Drosophila melanogaster: one gene and its partners. The protein of the gene in region 4 interacts with the protein of the main gene of each other region in a pairwise test. Each region holds a gene or a part of one and is shown on either strand. Other genes may lie near its edges. The genes, in order: Vajk3, Cpr57A, Rgl and Unr.

What was found.
Region 1: the proteins of Unr (region 4) and Vajk3 interact in a two-hybrid assay, tested with the Drosophila melanogaster proteins (one large-scale study listed by BioGRID).
Region 2: the proteins of Unr (region 4) and Cpr57A interact in a two-hybrid assay, tested with the Drosophila melanogaster proteins (one large-scale study listed by BioGRID).
Region 3: the proteins of Unr (region 4) and Rgl interact in a two-hybrid assay, tested with the Drosophila melanogaster proteins (one large-scale study listed by BioGRID).

What each region holds. Positions count from the first base shown.
Region 1 is NT_033779.5:13,944,256-13,949,139, reverse strand, and holds Vajk3 (Vajk3), read left to right. Parts: upstream 1-1,663; 5' UTR 1,664-1,742; intron 1,743-2,012; 5' UTR 2,013-2,039; coding exon 2,040-2,051; intron 2,052-3,089; coding exon 3,090-3,911; 3' UTR 3,912-4,384; downstream 4,385-4,884.
Region 2 is NT_033778.4:20,547,787-20,551,748, reverse strand, and holds Cpr57A (cuticular protein 57A), read left to right. Parts: upstream 1-1,631; 5' UTR 1,632-1,681; coding exon 1,682-1,696; intron 1,697-1,760; coding exon 1,761-2,117; intron 2,118-2,187; coding exon 2,188-2,370; 3' UTR 2,371-2,561; intron 2,562-2,623; 3' UTR 2,624-2,650; coding exon of another isoform or gene 2,651-2,722; intron 2,723-2,788; coding exon of another isoform or gene 2,789-3,127; 3' UTR 3,128-3,381; downstream 3,382-3,962. Other genes in the region: BORCS7 (BLOC-1 related complex subunit 7), read left to right, coding at 27-206; CG13430 (uncharacterized protein), read left to right, coding at 442-1,245; Obp57d (Odorant-binding protein 57d), read left to right, coding at 2,651-2,722, 2,789-3,127; Obp57e (Odorant-binding protein 57e), read left to right, coding at 3,458-3,514, 3,580-3,933.
Region 3 is NT_037436.4:13,916,942-13,921,565, forward strand, and holds the start of Rgl (Ral guanine nucleotide dissociation stimulator-like), read right to left. Parts: upstream 3,025-4,624; 5' UTR 2,253-3,024; coding exon 2,250-2,252; intron 1-2,249.
Region 4 is NT_037436.4:8,438,665-8,443,305, reverse strand, and holds the start of Unr (upstream of N-ras), read left to right. Parts: upstream 1-1,598; 5' UTR 1,599-4,641. UniProt on the Drosophila melanogaster protein: RNA-binding protein that acts as a regulator of dosage compensation in both males and females.

The DNA of each region.
Region 1 (4,884 bases), on a different chromosome or scaffold from region 4:
CGGACTCAGCCTGGCTGATATATAATCTGATTTTGTGCAAATGCACAAGCATCTAATGCCGCTACTGCAACGGCGACCCATAAAGGCCTTTCACTTTTACGCCACAGTGCAGATCTCACGCATGGCACCCGATCCAGTCACTGTTCCAGTCACAGATCCATTTGCAATCCCCGTTGGTATTCCACTCCACAATCCCACACCCAGCGTTCCGATAATCGATTTCGAGTGCGAAACTTGAGATTCGCAGCCCACGGTTATGCACCGCATCTGTTGCATCACTTTTCACCACCCCCAATCGCAGATAGTATCTATTTTTTCCGCCCGGTGATCACTAAACCATTGTCAATGACATCAAAGATGCCGAGAAATTCCAGAGAGGCAGCTTCCGTTTTTACCTGGTTGTTGCAGGAAGTGCAAAATGGTAACCCGAGTACCCCAAAGGTGGCAAGAAAACCAGAAAGCCTAATTATGACAGCAATAGAAATTGAGACATCACACTCAAATTACTATCTTGCAACAATGTATACTGATATAAAGCAAGTAACTGGTTACAAGTACAGTGAACTTTGATAAATGTTGCTTACTACAATATCAATTACAAAATCAAAGTTTAATGTAATTAATTGCCATTTTTAAAAGATCTGAATCCGGTTAAAAATTAAATACTAAAATCCGGAAAACATTCGGTTCGCCAAATGCATACAAAATTATAAGAAACATTAATTAAGTTATAAATCAAGTTACCGTTAAATCAAGTTCTACGATATTAGATCTGCTAAGTGAATTTGAGATTTATTAAACTCAAATGAAAGAAATTGCTTTGTTACACTTTTGTTTATTGGGCCACAAAATGTTTCGAAATAAATTTTATATTGAAATTATACAAGATTAAAACCAGATTACCCCTTTGAACAATTCCAGATTTATAGACCCTTTGTTTAAAATGCGAGCCGAACGTATAAATATGATACTAATAAGCAAGTTTTTTTTTTTTTTTAATTAATGGAATCAAAACAAAATCTAGTTGAATTTCCATTAGGTAGACTCAGAATTATTGATATTAGGAATCAGGTTCGACCAAAACTGCTGACTTCTGAAACTTGACAAACAAAACATAACGACTTTGATAGACATATGACCTTTCGTTGAAATCTATATTTTTGGGAACAACTTGCTAAGAAGCCCGAAGACTTTTTATCCAAATAAAACAAAAAAAAAACAAGAAAGGATTGCTAGTACGTTCTGCGGGATTTTCCCAATATAAATTTCAATTCAAGATTTAGTTAATTTATTTTATTTGCTTTTTATGTTCCCAAATTGATTTGATCACATTTGCACCCATATTTTATAAGCCACTTTCAAGTTGGCGGCTAAAGTCACCAATACACACAGAGAAAAGCCGCAATTGCGTGAGTATTGGTGGCATGCCAGTGTATTGGTGAGCGCTTCCGCTTGCAACTTTCCGTGCCGCACTAATACACACAAATATAACCAATACAAGCGCAAACCAAGCCGAACTCAGAGCTTTGAAGAGAGCAATTAGGCTGGTTTGTGGTGGGAAAAGCTTTTGGAAACCGCTGAGCGACTTGGTTTGGCGGTGTTTTCAGTTTCGTTTTGACACAAAAACTCTTTGGGGGTATAAAAGCGCGCCACTGACCACAGACAGCATCCAGTCAAAGGTTTGGAATCGCTAGTGATTCTACAATCCTTCCACAGTCTATTTCGCTGTTACTGAGTTGCTTGTAAGTGAAGCCAAATGCCAAGTTAATTTTTGTTTGTTTCTAAAATGCGTGTAGTCTATGTGAAACGGAAATAAAGTTTAAGCTGTGATCTAAAAGTTATAAACTAATAACTGTGCGAGCCGTGTGCTCTAAATAACTTCAATTTTCCAAGGAACATTTTCCCAAAGAACAGATTGTTAATACCAATTAAAGTGCTGATCTTATAAAAAAAAAAATATCTATGCTGCATTTCGTATAAATAATCTTATTGTTTTCTTTGTTTACTTACAGCCTTGGCAAGTCCCATTAGACTCCACAATGAAAGTATTCGTAAGTACAACAGACATATAGTAATTAGACATATAGAATTTAGTTTGATATGTAAATGGGTACGAGTATGTGAACTATCGCTGTTGGTAGCATATTTTAGTGTGAGAAATCAAGTAATAATTCAAAGAATTGCATACAGAACAATGCTGACATGAACTAATTGGAACAATATAGCCTTTTGCATTGCAAATGCCTCACATTGTTTACCTGGCCATCTTCAACAACAAACAACTTCCTGAAACAATTCAATCCGATAAATTTCCTTAATCAAAGGTGAAATGCTCGCAAACGACCAAATTCAACTTGAACGACATGGCTAATAAGCGTTTATTAACTGAACGATCATAATTGGAGTGCCAGCCACGTTTATTACCAGGCCGTAATCAACTGGGTTCATGTGCTCAATTAAAGCCAGCTCCAAATGCATTCGCTGAGTTGCCCACTGCGTATGCGTAACGTGACGCCAGTCGGTTGAGGCGTATTGCGGAAACTGGGCGTGGCAGTGGGCGATGACTGCACTGCATCATTTATGCCAGGCACGCACAAATTTCACTTGACCATTTGAATCGCGAAAGAGGGCGATGAGACAACGGACGACACAATGCGAATCGGGCCACATATCGCCTATCGCCTTCGCTTTCTATTGCGATTAGGTAATCGATCAAACTAGGCAATGGGTGATAAAAGTCAACGTTTTCGTTAGGCAATTTATGTAGGTTGCATATCTTGAATTGTTTTATCATAGAGAAGCTTCAAATACTTAAAGAATAGACTATACGAATTTCATGATAGATGAGTTTGCACAGTTGAGAATTCGAAGATAGTATGACTAAATTTTATTTCATTTCATTTTGAAATAGATTTAAACTATATTTGCAAGGAATCAAGTTCTACTTACTAACTTAGTTATTGTGAAATAAACTATTAAGAAATCACAAATATCTAGAATTTTGCTAGAAAATTAATATATTATTATTATTTAAAAGTCTCTAAAATGCATAGTTTCATAACCAATCGCACCAACTCAATTCTTTGCAGATCTGCTTAGCCGCTCTGCTGGTGGCCTCCGCCTGCGCCAGCAAAACCGAGGGTGAGAAGGTGCCGCTGGAGAAGAAGCTGGACAAGCGCGGCCTGCTCGATCTGGGCTACGGCTACGGTCATGCTGGTCTGGACACCGGCTACCTGGGACATGGTTCCATCTCCGGCCACGGAAGCTACGGACATGGCTACGGACTGACCGGATACTCCGCACCCGCTGCCGTCGCCGTGGGCCACAGTGGTCCCGCGATCGCCGTTGGACACACTGCTCCCGCCGTCGCTGTCCACCACGCTCCCGCCCCCTATGTGATCAGCAAGCAGGCCGATGTGCACAAGACCATCACCATCACCAAGGGAATCCCAGTGCCCGTGCATGTGGACCGCCCCTATCCCGTCGTCCATGAGAAGCGCGTGCCCGTCGAAGTTAAGGTGCCCGTGCCCCAGCCCTACGAAGTCATCCGCAAGGTGCCCGTGACCGTTAAGGAGTACGTCAAGGTGCCCGTGCCAGTGCCCCAGCCCTACGAAGTGATCCGTCACGAGAAGGTGCCCGTCCATGTGCCCGTCGATCGCCCAGTGCCCGTTGAGGTGCCCAGGCCCTACCCCGTGCCAGTGGCCAAGCCCTACCCTGTCTACGTGGAGAAGGCCGTCAATGTCCAGGTGCCCGTGCATGTGGATCGTCCCTACCCCGTCTACGTGAAGGTGCCCGTGGTGTCCCACTCCGTGGTCAAGCACGCACCCACCGTTGCCGTCAGCAGCTACCCTGTTAGCGCCATTGGCCACGATGCCACCGTCTACTCCGACCACCATGGTTACCACAAGTAAGCGGACGGAATGGACCGGAAGCAGGCGAATCTATTGGAGCGAGCGGACTTAATGGAAATGAGCCGAAGGATATCTAGCAACATTTTCAATTATCTTCCCCACTCTCTCCACCTGTCGGCCTTCCTTTCCAAAACCGAGCGCAGAAGCAAACTCTTAAAATACCCCCTGGAAGTCAAACTTCCGCCCTGCCACACTCTCTGTAGCTGATAAGAACCCCCAAGATGAAACAAGCAATGCCTTTTGTAAATTATTTCCAATCCAGCCATCCAATGGAAGCCATTGTGCTGGGCCAAGAACTCCAGGTTTAGGATAAATACCAGCTAACTGTTTGTAAATTTCGCCATTTATGAACAGTTTAGCTGGCCAAGTTTATCAGTGAAAGGTTTCGGCGCACAATGAATTGAATGGATAATAAGAACAGAAATATCTATGTGAAAATCTATTAAGGACAAATAAAATAAAATGTATAAAATAAATTTCACTGTCTTTATCACTGGTTAGCTGCTGGAAATAGTTTGTCATAGGGTTCTTTGTAATTGTATATCTTGTAAATATATTTTGTAAATAAAGAGTATGTTGTTATTAAACAGCTGTCGTTTTTGATTTGGTGGCTACTCAACATAAATAATATTTAAAAAATGTATTTTTACTAGACTTTTTGAGGATCATTTTCTGGAATATTTACAGCTCTCTAATAATATTTATTAAATAGACGGAATGGTTCAAAAACTTTATGTTCCGATCACTTTAATAAAAAGTTATACGAAGACCCTTTAATCTTGCAAGGTAACAAGTAGGATACCAGTAATTATTTCAAGCCAAGAGATGCGAATTATGCATACCTGTAATTAAGTACAGCTTAAGTTGTAATAAATCAATAATACTCAGTCACAATAAAAACAGATGTCTTGACGCCTTCCTGATCCTTAAACCCGAAAATCCTCTCACCAGTCAGTCAGCTGAGATGACATGA
Region 2 (3,962 bases), on a different chromosome or scaffold from region 4:
TACTACTTTAGCAGTTTCGCCCACAGATTATGCACCAAACCCTGAAGAACTTCACCCAAGTGGACGTGGTCTCGGATTACAGCCACCAGAATCTGCAGAAGATGACGCTGATTCTGCAGCACGTGGGCTACCAGTACGATGTGATGCAGGACAGTGTCAACCACTTGGATTACCTCAAGGAGCAGGTGACGGCCATGGAAAGATGATTGGAAGAGCAAAAGCCTAGACACTAGCAGCACCCTTGACCTCCGCCATCTGTTTAATTTGTCCCAAGCCATCTATCCATAAATATCTATAAATCCCGAAAGATAGTCCGAGAAGGTCAGGGGCCACCAAAAGAGTTGGGTCCGCCGATAAGATAAGCCGTGTGTCTTGGAGTTCCCTTATAAAAGACCTGAACCACAGTGATTTCCATCACAGTCACGGGCAATCAAAGAGAAAATGACGAGCTTGGATTTCAGACTGGCAGTAGCTCTCTGGCTAATCTGTACGTCGGCTGCCCAGAACTCCACGGATGTCGAACAGGATGGCCGCATTGTCGGCGGCTGGGAGACGCACATCACCTTCTTTCCGCACCAAGTATCCCTGCAGTTGGGCACCCGGCATGCATGCGGTGGAACCATCATTTCGCCCAACATCATCTTGACTGCTGCTCACTGTGTGCTGGAGTACAGTAAACCGCAATATTACGTGATTCGAGCCGGATCTAGCGATTGGACGAAGGGCGGCAGCTATATTCGCGTCAAAAAGATCATTCCGCATCCTGAGTTCCATGACCCCACGAGGATGAACAATGACATTGCCATTGTTCAGCTGCAGCAACCCCTTGTCTATAGTCAGGATATACGACCCATAAGCTTGGCCACCAGTAAGGACATCATTATGCCGACCGCACAGCTTTTTGTAAGCGGCTGGGGCAGCACGTCGATCTCACAAATGCAGCCGGAAAAGCGTCTTCGCTACACCGTTGTCCATCTGAGAGATCAGAACCAGTGTGCCAGAAACTATTTCGGAGCTGGCACCGTGACCAACACCATGTTCTGCGCGGGAACTCAGGCGGGAGGAAGAGATAGCTGCCAGGGAGATTCGGGCGGTCCACTTGTCACATCTATAGATGGCCGTCTAAAGCTCTACGGCATTGTGTCCTGGGGATTTGGATGCGCAAACGCCATGTTTCCTGGAATTTACACAAAAGTTTCGGCCTATGACGACTGGATAGCGCAGACAATTGAGGAGCTGGTCTAGCCTAATTTTAAACTGTATTACAACATAGAAATAATGGTCAAAACCACTGCTAAGTTTAAGTTATAACGTAATCCCATATATACTAATACGAAATCTAATACTTAAGACTTTTCACCTCTGTAAATGAACCGTATTAAACGCTAATAACTTGCTAATTTCAAGTTCAGATGACTAACCAAAGGCATAGAATGTTATATATCGAAAAACAATTTGTTAATTCAACTTTAATGTCAAATTACCTTGTTTATGAATGCAAAATGTAAAAACAAGTTTCGGATTCGTGGATTAGCCGATCGTAGTGGCATATAAAATGCGCATCTCGGCACCTCGAATACCAGTTTTTGGCTCTTACGAACTGCGAATACCGAAGTGTTGTCCAAGTCACCGCCAGTTACCAATCGCAACTTGAGTAGAGAGGCAACACAATCCAGCAACCATGTTTATAGTTTTGGTAAGTGAGCGACTATATCAGATGTTACTCAACTACATATAACTCTTCCTGTCTGCATGTCAAGGTCGTTTGTTTGCTGGCAGTCGCTGCGGCCGATGTGTCCCATCTGGTCACCCCGGAACCGAAGGTTCCAGCAAGTCCGTATGTGTTCAGCTACCAAGCTGGCCGTGCTCCCGGCCATGTGGATCGCCAGCATACCGAGGTGTCCGATGGATCGGGTGTGATCCGCGGTGCTTTCTCCTATGTGGACCCAAAGAACCAGGTGCGCACCGTACAGTATGTGGCGGATGAGCATGGTTTCCATCCTCAGCTTAGCCACAAACTGGAGGACAGCGCCGCCGTCCAGGCAGCCAAGCAAAGGCACTTCGCGGCCTACAATCGGATTGCGCAAGAGCATGCCAACCACACGCCAGGCCAAGTTGTGAGTGTGCCGTGCACAGGTGTGGCTCCAAATTGTTTGTAATGATGCATTGTCTTCCACAACTTTGTAGGCACTAGCAAATGCCCCCCATGCCAGCGCCGCCGTTGCACATGCCACCCAGAAGCACCTGAGCGCCTTCGAGCGGATCGCTGCCGAGCACGCGGCCATTGGACGCCAACAGGAGGCACAGCGTCTGGCGCTGGCCGCTCAATCTGAGCATGGAGAGATCGAAGATGGACAGTACCATCCGTAGGTGATGGAGTTCGCTGAATGATGTGAAAATAAACGGGTAGCTTCCAGAAATATCAACAATTTCCGTTTATTTTGTGATCAGTTAAAGTGAGTGGGGGAAATAGTTTAGTTAATTATTTTGTATTATACAGTTTGTTATAATCAGATAGCATTCTATACTTTTAATGAATTTATTTCTTTTGTGTTAAAATGGTAAGTGATTTATTTCATCATGACAGTAAAATGCGATTCAATTTATGCGATTTGGTATTTAGTTTCCTATGATATCTTCAACTAGTTTGATGCCTGAAAAAATGTCTCTAAGACTTGTACCGCATCTGGCTTGTATTATTTTTATTTTGGAAATTCAATTTGTAAGTTCAACACTTTATTCTTGATGCAGTTGTTCGGAAAAACTTAACATAAGACTCCTCTTCTAGAGAATTGCCGATTCTAACGATCCGTGCCCCCATAATCAAGGAATAGACGAAGATATAGCCGAATCAATTCTAGGTGACTGGCCTGCAAATGTGGATTTGACTAGCGTGAAAAGGTCCCACAAGTGTTATGTGACCTGTATTTTGCAATATTACAATATTGTGACCGCTTCTGGTGAGATATTTCTGGACAAGTACTACGATACTGGAGTCATTGATGAATTGGCGGTGGCACCCAAAATCAATCGATGCCGATATGAGTTTAGAATGGAAACAGATTATTGTAGCCGAATTTTTGCTATATTCAATTGTTTAAGGCAAGAAATATTAACAAAGTCATAAAAGCCGTTGTAAAGAATAAGATTGTTTTTTTTTATTTTGGATGCATATTAATAACTAATATTAGGGTACGATATTCTAGTATCGGGTATATAACAAAGAAAAGAATCCATAAAATAACTATACATGCGATTGCCACCCGCATCTCCACGTATATTCAATTGTTTATATTATTAATTAATAAGTCAGTTATCAAATTAAAAAGAGGTAATTTAAATCGTTGAATGTGTGTGCAATTAAAAATGTGATTATCCATTATATTGAAATTTAATTGCTCGTATTGGGTTTGTTATAAGTACATGATACGATGGATTCCCTAGGAATATAGCAAGTATGTTGGACCAACTTACACTGTGTTTGTTGCTAAATTTTCTGTGCGCAAATGTTCTCGTAAGCTTTATTTATATATTTATAAAGTTCTCATATAACATGCATGTATCTATCTCGTTGTAAAGGCTAACACTTCAGTATTTAATCCGTGTGTTTCGCAAAATGAGTTATCCGAATATGAAGCCCACCAAGTGATGGAGAATTGGCCAGTTCCGCCCATCGATCGGGCTTACAAATGCTTTCTAACATGCGTCCTCTTGGATTTGGGTCTGATTGATGAACGGGGTAATGTGCAGATCGATAAGTACATGAAATCCGGAGTGGTGGACTGGCAATGGGTGGCAATAGAGTTGGTAACATGTCGCATAGAATTCAGCGACGAAAGGGATCTGTGCGAGCTATCATATGGAATCTTCAACTGCTTCAAGGATGTGAAGCTTGCGGCCGAGAAGTATGTTTCAATTAGTAATGCAAAGTAGATTCAATAAAATGAAAAGTATTTCATTGT
Region 3 (4,624 bases), 5.5 Mb from region 4:
AAAAAACTGCGGCAGAAATAAAGCTCATTAAGTAATGAAATAATATAGTATTATAATGCCAGACGACGGGCAATTGTCAAACATATTCGTGTTTGTGTATACAAGGCACCCAATTATAAAGAAATAACATCCAAGTATGAGGGGGCGCCTGATTGGTCGGCCCACATCATCATCTGTCTATATATAAAGCAGGTGACCTTTCCTCCAGAAAAGCGTGTGGGTGGCGTTTTCTGCTTTTCCGCCCAGGGGGGGTTTCTCTCAATTACAGATCTTCGCAAAAATAGCCAGAAACCAAAACAAAGGAGAGTCGAACCGCAACATCAAAGCGAAATGGTACTGCATTTGCATTTGGGGTGAATTTATCAACAAACAGCCATACAGCTGAGGTCACAATATTGATAGATTAAAAGTGAAAATACATCTAAGGAAATGGATCAATATTTAAATGATGAAACATGACTCTGAGATAGTAAAATAGTATTCCGTTTGAGATATTCGATTTATAGGTAAAAGTATTGCAATTTGTATCGATGTAAAAACAGTTCTTTGAGAATTTCCTAGTTCTTGGCGGCAATAGATTAGGTGTCCGAAATAAGCAATACATTTCGCTTGTCTTGAAAAATGAAAAGGCATTTATTTTGACCGCAATTGTAGACACAAATCTCTATTTTTAAATCGACGACCCCTGGCACGAGTTTTGTGAATTGCAGCAACAGAAGCAGCGGCAAAAAAAAAACAACGCAAAACAAAATTGAAAACGCCAAGGGAAAAAAACGACTGAAACTAAACACCAGTCTCTCCCCCTTCCCTCTGTCATCCCTGAATGACTGACTGACTAAATGACTGACTGGCTAAATGACTCTGACTGACTGTCAGTTACATGCGACTGCATCCGACGCAGTCAACTTGACAACATTTGCTGCTCCCTCGGTGCACATAAAAAAAAATGAAGGGAATTATGATCAAATTTAATTGCATCGGCCTACTAACACAGGTCCATCAAGATTTTACATCGTTTGTGTTTATGAGAAATAATAGAACAGGCATTACTTGGCATTCGATATTCTATCCCTAATGTCTCCTTTTCGCTATATTACAACATAACGAATATCAACCGATGCCACATCCTGTTGCAATTTTTAATTTCAAAAACCATAATTCATATCCGAATAAAACTTTTATTTAACGTGTATATGTACATATGTATCTGTCTCTACTGCAGAGCAGCTGTCCCGCTCTTTCGGCTATTATCAAACCACATCCGTTGGGCAGCAGCAGAGATGATGTGCAAACAATACAAAAACATATCAACCTAAGCTAAAGTTTGAGCCACTGAGCATAGCTCCCCACGTAAATTATTTTTTTTATGCATTCCCCCATCATTCGCCAGTGGGTAAAGGAAGTGGGGGGCGGAGCTTTTGTTTTGCATACAATGGGAGCTGATAAATGATTTCTAGGGGCACTCCGCATAAATGGATGATAAAGAAACGAAAATATAACTGGGACTGCAACTGAAATGATCTCAAACTGATTCACCTTTAAATTCATAGCTTTAATTCGTTATCTTTCACCTGCGAAACAAATTATATACATCACTTAAGAATACCCTACACCATTTGTTCCCAAGCATAAGTATACCAATTTTGAATGCTTTTTAATTAGCATATAAATTCTCGAAACTCCCAAAACAAAGCTTCTCCAAGCTTGGCAGTTCCCATATGATTCATTTATAACTTGTAAAAAATTCCCGACTTTTATCGATTCCTATTCCTTCCCCACCAAAAGAAGGTGTTTTATTTCTGGACTCCACTTAGGCGTAAAGTTTCCATACCATTGCATTTTTGCCCATAATCATTGTTGACATTTCCTTGTGAATCGACACCAAGACACTACAGTAATCCCTCTCCACACAAAACCAGATCAAGTACACAGCAACTAGTTTTCAGGGTTGAAAATTCTCGGACAAAAAAAGGTGCGCATTATCGATAATTATCCATGTCGTTGATTTAAGGGCGAGGGTCAATAGTAATAAAATTCAAGCCATTAATGTTTTTATCTTATCAGGAGTTTGTTACCGATGTATTGCTTATTGCAGAAATATGATGTACTTGTTTTAAATATATTGTTAAAAAAAAACATTTCAATGTATCAACGTTCGAGTGACCACTGTAAGGGCAGGATAAGAACCAATAGATCTAAAGTGCGCTCCTTTCTAATCCGGCCTGATGGATTGCGTTGTTTTTTTTTACCATTTGAGATTGGCTTTTGTTCCTTGAGAAATGTTGCTGAGATTTCCACGGATGCACTGCTTGGGTTTTCCTATCCGTTATCCTCTTCTCGTCGGTTCGCTTTAATTTACACGTCTCCTTTAATGGCTTCTGGTGTTTTATTTTTACACCCAAGTGCAGTTCAATGGGTGGTGGGGGTGTTGTATAAGTAAAAGGCAAGTAAAATCGATATTCCTGCTGCTCTTTTTTTGTACTGGGCTTCTGTGTTCTGGCCGCTATACCGTTGTTCAGCTTCCTGGGAACGATGAGTCAACGGGACATAGAGAAACACACCCAGTAGCAGTAGAGGTGGGGGGGTTAATATTGGTATTTGTTCTCCGGTTAGTGGTAAGTGGTGAATCCTTGGTCCGCGAAGAAGGGTTCGTTGCACTACGTCTATGCGTCTGCCTGGCAATCTCCTCTTTGCTCTCGTGCTTTAGCACGTCTTCCCTACTATTTATTTGTTTTCACTTTTATCTCTTTTCCTTTTGCTAATGCTGCACTCGCACACACGTAAACGGCAATTTTCGGGATACCGCTTGCATTTTCATTCGCTTGGCTGAAAATCTCAACATGAGATATCCATGTTATTACAAAAACATTATACAAAATTCACATTCGGGGGTTTCTCTACTTGGAAAAGGGGAGCGTAGGGGGCGCAGAGCGTAAAACGCGCGCGAGACACACACACAAAGCTCTCGGTAGAGAGACACGCGACGCAACCGCCGCCAACAACAGTCGAAGACGAACTCTGCCCGCTTAGAACAAACGACCGCCCGAAACCCCATCGTCTGTATCCAACTCTCGCTTACTCTCTCCCACACGCTCTCTCTGTCGGGGATCCACTCTCTGTCATTAAGAACGCAAGCATTTTCGGGGGATGTTCTTACTCGACGGATGTAACTGTAGCATCCCCGTTCTCTCAATTGCACTCTCTCGTTCGCTTTTCTCAGGTACTCAAGTTTTCGACCGTGGGAACTTCTAGCAAAACACCCACTATGGTTTTACACCTTGCGTGAAGGTATATTGGTTGCATCGAACAAGTTCAAAAACACAGTTAACATTAACAATGCATTCCAATATTGGTTCCGAATTTAAAACACCTACATATTCTCACAATTTATAGTCAATAAACTTAAAATAGAACTTTTTCCAGATAAACTGTCAATTTACCATTGAATTGGTAATTGATTTTATTTCTTTTGCACTATGGTAACTTGGCCTTTTAAATCAATTTAAACAAATTTCTTTAAAACTTCTTCCTAGTGACTGTTGACACGCTAAATATAAATAAATAAGTTTCTTAAAATAAATACACGGTATATATATGTCGTATCAGAACAAACATAAAAATCTTACTTGCTCTGGCCATTCGCGCTCTGTTTATGTTTTTTCTGATGAGCAATTGACTGTTGGCTTGTTTGTTTCTAATCAGAACTCTCTCTCAACTCTCTCTGTCAATTTTAGTATTTTTTGGTATATATTTACACTGACCCCCACAATAGCATTTGTCTTCATTATAGCTTCACATTTATCAATGGAATTTATGGGCCTCCTAAACCTGTAGGATTTTATTCCAAATTTTTGATTAATGCCAACAAAGAAATTTAAATAATTTTCTTCCATGTTTTGTTTGGCTTTTTAGGCTATCATTTGACCAACCGTTCAAACATGTGAACTGGAATGACATAATTATGGAAATGGGAATACCTGAGTGTTGTCTGGTATTTGGTAACGATTTAAAGAAAGCTGGCGGGGAAATCAATAAGCAGAAATATTAATAAAACGTGCATTTACGTAAGCGCCAATCAAACGATGCCTGCTGTTTTGTTTGTTGCTTGTAGACATTGGATAAATATTCGAGACCATGAGCACGTCAATTGATCAATTAGCGAATGCAACAAGTTTCAATACAAAAAAAGGCACTGATATTTGTTATGCACTTGGTGATGCTGATAACGAATTTTATATAAAGCTAGAAAAAGAGATCAATTAAAGATTGACCCTCAATGTGCTTCATGATGTTGGTGTCAAAATAATACGGTTTAAAGCTATAGTAAATTTATTTAAAATTATTGCTGTTCTCCCTATCAGAAAGTATGGAGAATAATATTTTAAAACGTAAACGTCATAATATATATTTAGATGAAAAATGTTGTGCTCCAAAACTTTAGTCATACGAAAAAACCGCTCTTGTGTTGTGATCGTGATAATAAATATCACAAAAATTATAAATTAAATTATAAATTATAAATTTCTTTAATTCGATTTTTCGGCACCACTCTAATCAAAATGTTGCAACATATTTTTCATTAACTTAGTCTACGGACTATTTGACCAAATAATTAGCAGACCTG
Region 4 (4,641 bases):
ATTTATATTTAGCGAGGGCGTTTTGATAATCTATTCATGTTGATAACATTTTGCACTGTCGAATGTATAAAAGGCACCGTAACCAATTAACTAGATTTTGTAAATTGTAATCTTTAAAAATCTGTTCAAGGATAATCAATTTATCAGCATACATATGTATTGGATCCCATTATCATGCAAAATACCATTTAAGTTAATTATGGATTAAGCAACCAAGGAGCTGCTGAAATAAAATTCGTTAAAAGACCCAGGAAGACGTAAAACTAATGTGATTTTCTGTGGGCTGCTAAAAGGAATCTAAAAAAGGGATTTTTTGTGTTTTATGTTTTATGTGACAGAACTTCCGAAAATTAAGAATTAAACTAAGTGAATACACTTCTGCATTTTTGGGGGAATTCCAATTTTACAAAGATAATAACATATCTTCCATATTTATTTATCAGAACAAATAAAACTAGTTTCATTTTTTAAATCAATATATTGCCGCTTAATAAAAGGCGAAAAGATTTTGGGGTTGGCTTAAGTTAGAAATAGCTAGCGATGGTTCTTGTCTCGAATACGTACAGTTTAAAATTAAATATTTAGATGTAATTTTCTTAGTAATAATCCATTTAATTACATAAATTGCTTTTGTTTATTATTAAAACTAAGAATATTACATAAAAGTCACATACAATTCATATTTTATAATTTGCAGTGATAGCATAGAAAATGACATAGATGTATAACCCTGCACTTCTACTACTTTTAGACATTGCATTAAAGATAGTCCCTTTAACTGAATTAAAGTTAAATCGTTATCTTAGATAAGTTTTGATTATTTAAATATAGGAATAGAAAAGCTAAGAGATCCCTGCTCCTACTCCCATGACCACTGACGTCACAATTGTCCCTCTCTTCGCACACCTTCCAACACTGCCATCGTGCTGTCGGCAAATATGGCGCCCGCTAGCAGTTGTTGTGCTGTCGTGTGGTACGTGTGGCTGGTCCAGAAAATTCTCGTTCGCTTCAAATAGGACTATTATTTAACTCAAATTCGGAACGAAAATATGCAGAAAATGTGCCGCGAACAAAGCTGTGATGGAAAAATATGAAATGTGTTAGGGAAATTAGTTTTTAAATGGCGAATTAACGTTTTTTCGTTGCCCAGCCAGATTTTCTACGCTTCTGTGTGTGTGTGTGTGCGTTTGAGGGTACCAAATTTGCAGCCCGAAAAAAAAGTTGATGAAAATTCGTTTTTTTGCTACCAACTTGGCACTTCGGTGACTGTGCATGTGTGTGTGCAGTCTGCGGGGTTGCTAATTTTACGCTAAAAACCACAACAATAATGTGTAAAAATAGTTTACGATTGCAATTGCGTGTGCGTGTGTATGGGCGTGCATGTGTGTGTGCGTAGTAGGTTGCGCCAGTGTGTGTGCAATTTTTTCCGGCAGGCAAAAATCTCTCCATTTGCAACACTGAAAAATCGATAAAACTGCAGCAAGACTTTCGGTGTAGATTTCACTAGCCAAAAATAAAAGAAATAATAAAAAAGATGTATTAATTTTTCTTAATCGTTTCCACCTTTCTCTTTTTCTCATTCAACAGCTTTTGTAACTAAAACTCCGTTTTGACATCACTTTCATCATAATCTGAAAAAATAATAATAATATAAAAAAACAACAACAAATATGATAAAAAAATAAAAAAATCACCATCGAAAACGAATCAAAAAATAATACATACAAATATAAATCGCAAATAATTGAAAGTTACAGCAGAAATAAAAAACAACAACAACATAGCTCAAAAGGAAAAAGTCAAAGCAAAAACTTTTTAAGTTTTTTGGACTCTTCTTTGTTTTTGTTTCGTTTGCTTTGCAAAGAAAAACACACAAAACAGAAAAAACGAGAATTTTTACGCCGCCCGTCGGTGTGAGCGAGACAGACAGAGAGGGAGATAAAGCGACTGCGCAAATAAAAAAAGAAAACAAAACAACAAACAACATAAAAAACAAGCCAAGCTTGAAACGAAGACTTTCAAATAAAACAACAACAAAACCAACAACAAACCAAACAAATTGAAACGCTGTGAAATTAACTCGTCAATACTCAAAAGCACCAACAAATAAATAAACAAAAAGAAAAGCTAAAACAAAATAAAAGGCAAACCACGAAGGAGCAAGTAAAGCGGAGTTTAACAAGAAAACGGCAAAAGCACTGAAAACAAAAAAGCAACGGGAAACGAAACTAACGTGAAGTCAAAGGCAACGGCGCTGCGGCGTTCGGACTCTCGAATAAAACAAAAACAATTCAAGCAAAACCGCAAAACCTACACTTGGAAAAACGCTAAATAAATCCCAAATTCCTCATTATTTTTCCTGAAAAGCTTTAATTTAATTACGAATTTTTTGTTGTTAAGTCAGAGTGAATTCAATTTGCTAATTAATTTAAATTAAGACATCAACAACCGAGCTACAAAAGCAGCAACAACAACAAACAAACAACAACCAACAAACAACTGAATTAATGTTTTAAAGTACAAAATAACCGGGAGTAAATCAACAACAAATAATTTAAACATATTAAAAACGATTTAATTTAAAACGCAACATCAATCTAAATTATTTAACTAAACATAAAAACAAACACTGCTAGAATTTAAGTCCAAAAACAACTGATAAACGCCCACAAGGGCGAAAGGGAAGTGGGAGACAGAGCGATAAATGGAGGAGAAGCGAGGAGAGCTGAATAAAACCGATCAAGCAACAATTGTGCCGCAAAAAAAGTGTGAATAAAAAATATATACTAAAAAAATAACGGTAACAATAAAGAAAACATTTAAAACCAAAAATCTACAAGAATTCTATAAGTTTTAAGTCACGTTTTACACAGACCTACAACAACAACACCAGCAATTGAACTTAGCCAATAAATTTAATTAAAACAATAAATTAGTGAAAAAAAAATAAACGGATTAAGCCAATATATATAGAGAACGCATAACAAATTCAAAACTGCGGCCTTGTGCCAAAAAAACAGTTTTTATTTTTTCCAATAAAACATTGTTTTTTACTAGTTTTCAATTCAGATTTTTTTATAAGTGTACCTAGTGAGAAATGTTAAAAGTCTAAAACAGCAAAAGCAACTGCAACAAACGGAAGTAAAACGGAGAAAAGAAAAACAAAACAAATTCAAAGAAAGATTTAACAACTCTGTGATAATTACTGTAAATTTATAAATTTAAAGAAAAAAAAAAAACAAAAACCTAAAGAAAAACCACAAAAAAATCTCTAATTAAATGAAAGGAAAACCCCGTCATTTTTAACAGTAGGCGAAGAAGAAGAAGGAGCGAAAGAGGAAGCAGAAAGCAGAAAAACATCTTAAACCAACAACAACTTTACACTTAAGAGCAAATGCAAATGAAAAGATAAAAAACATTGAAACAAATTCGTGATATCTTAAAGGACTTCGATACATATATACTATAGTATATTATATATTATATTATATAAACTATTAAACTAAGCTTAAATCTAGTGAGCGTCAACCGAGAAAACAAAAACAAAACAATGGAATAAGTGAATAAACAACAAAACCAACCAACACAAAGCAAAAAATAAAAACCCTAGGTTATGAAAAGACTTCAAAACGCATTCAAAAAATATATATATTTAAACAAAACAAAATAAATCGTAGACTTAAAGTTCAACATAGTAAATGAGCGAGGATAACTTTACATAACGGGTGTCCTATATCTATTATATACATATATAAAAACAAAAACAAAAAAACATTAAAACTCATAATTTTTGCTTAGTGAATAGTAAATGAAACAGCAATAAAACAGCAACAAAACAACAAAAAAGAAAAAACAAATTATACAAATCGTGCAACCGAAAAGTAATAGCAACGTACAGCGAAACAAAATAGGAAATCGACACAGAAAGAAAGAAAGATACAGAGAGAGAGTGAGCGAGGAACCGGAAACGGAAGTCCCGAGAAGAGGAAGAAGGAGATTTAAACCTCGTCCCCCAAAAATCATCGTTGTACTAAAGGTATTCGAAAGTAAATAAAAAATCACTACTACTTCCTATAAACCACAACGATTGCCTACAAAATATATATTATATATATGTATACTAAATAGAAACCAATATAATCAAGCAAAACACACAAAATATTCAAATATCAAACAAAGCTAATCTAACCCAAAAGTAAAAAGTATTCCCAGTGTATTTTTCTAGTAAAACTAAAGTAAAAATATAAAAAAAAATCAACCAAATTCATTTCAAACAAAATGCAATAATTCAATAATAATTCAAAACTCGAACAAAAATAAAAACACCAACGGCAGCAGAGCTGGTGTGCATTTTCATCGTAAAACCACAATATTTTGAATACACAAAACAAACAAAAAAAATATTTCAAGAACAACAACTTTAAAAAGAAATACAACCTACAACAGACCCAGGAAGGAACTTCAAACTACCAAAACAAACCAACAACGTTACAATATTTGTCGGCATTTTTTACAAGAAATATAAAAACACAAAACAACAAGGAACACAAAAAACCAACAAACAAACAAACCAACAACAGCAAAGGAAAGCTAAGTAAAACAACCACATTTTTTGCGGGGAATGCCCTCAAGAAAAGACAA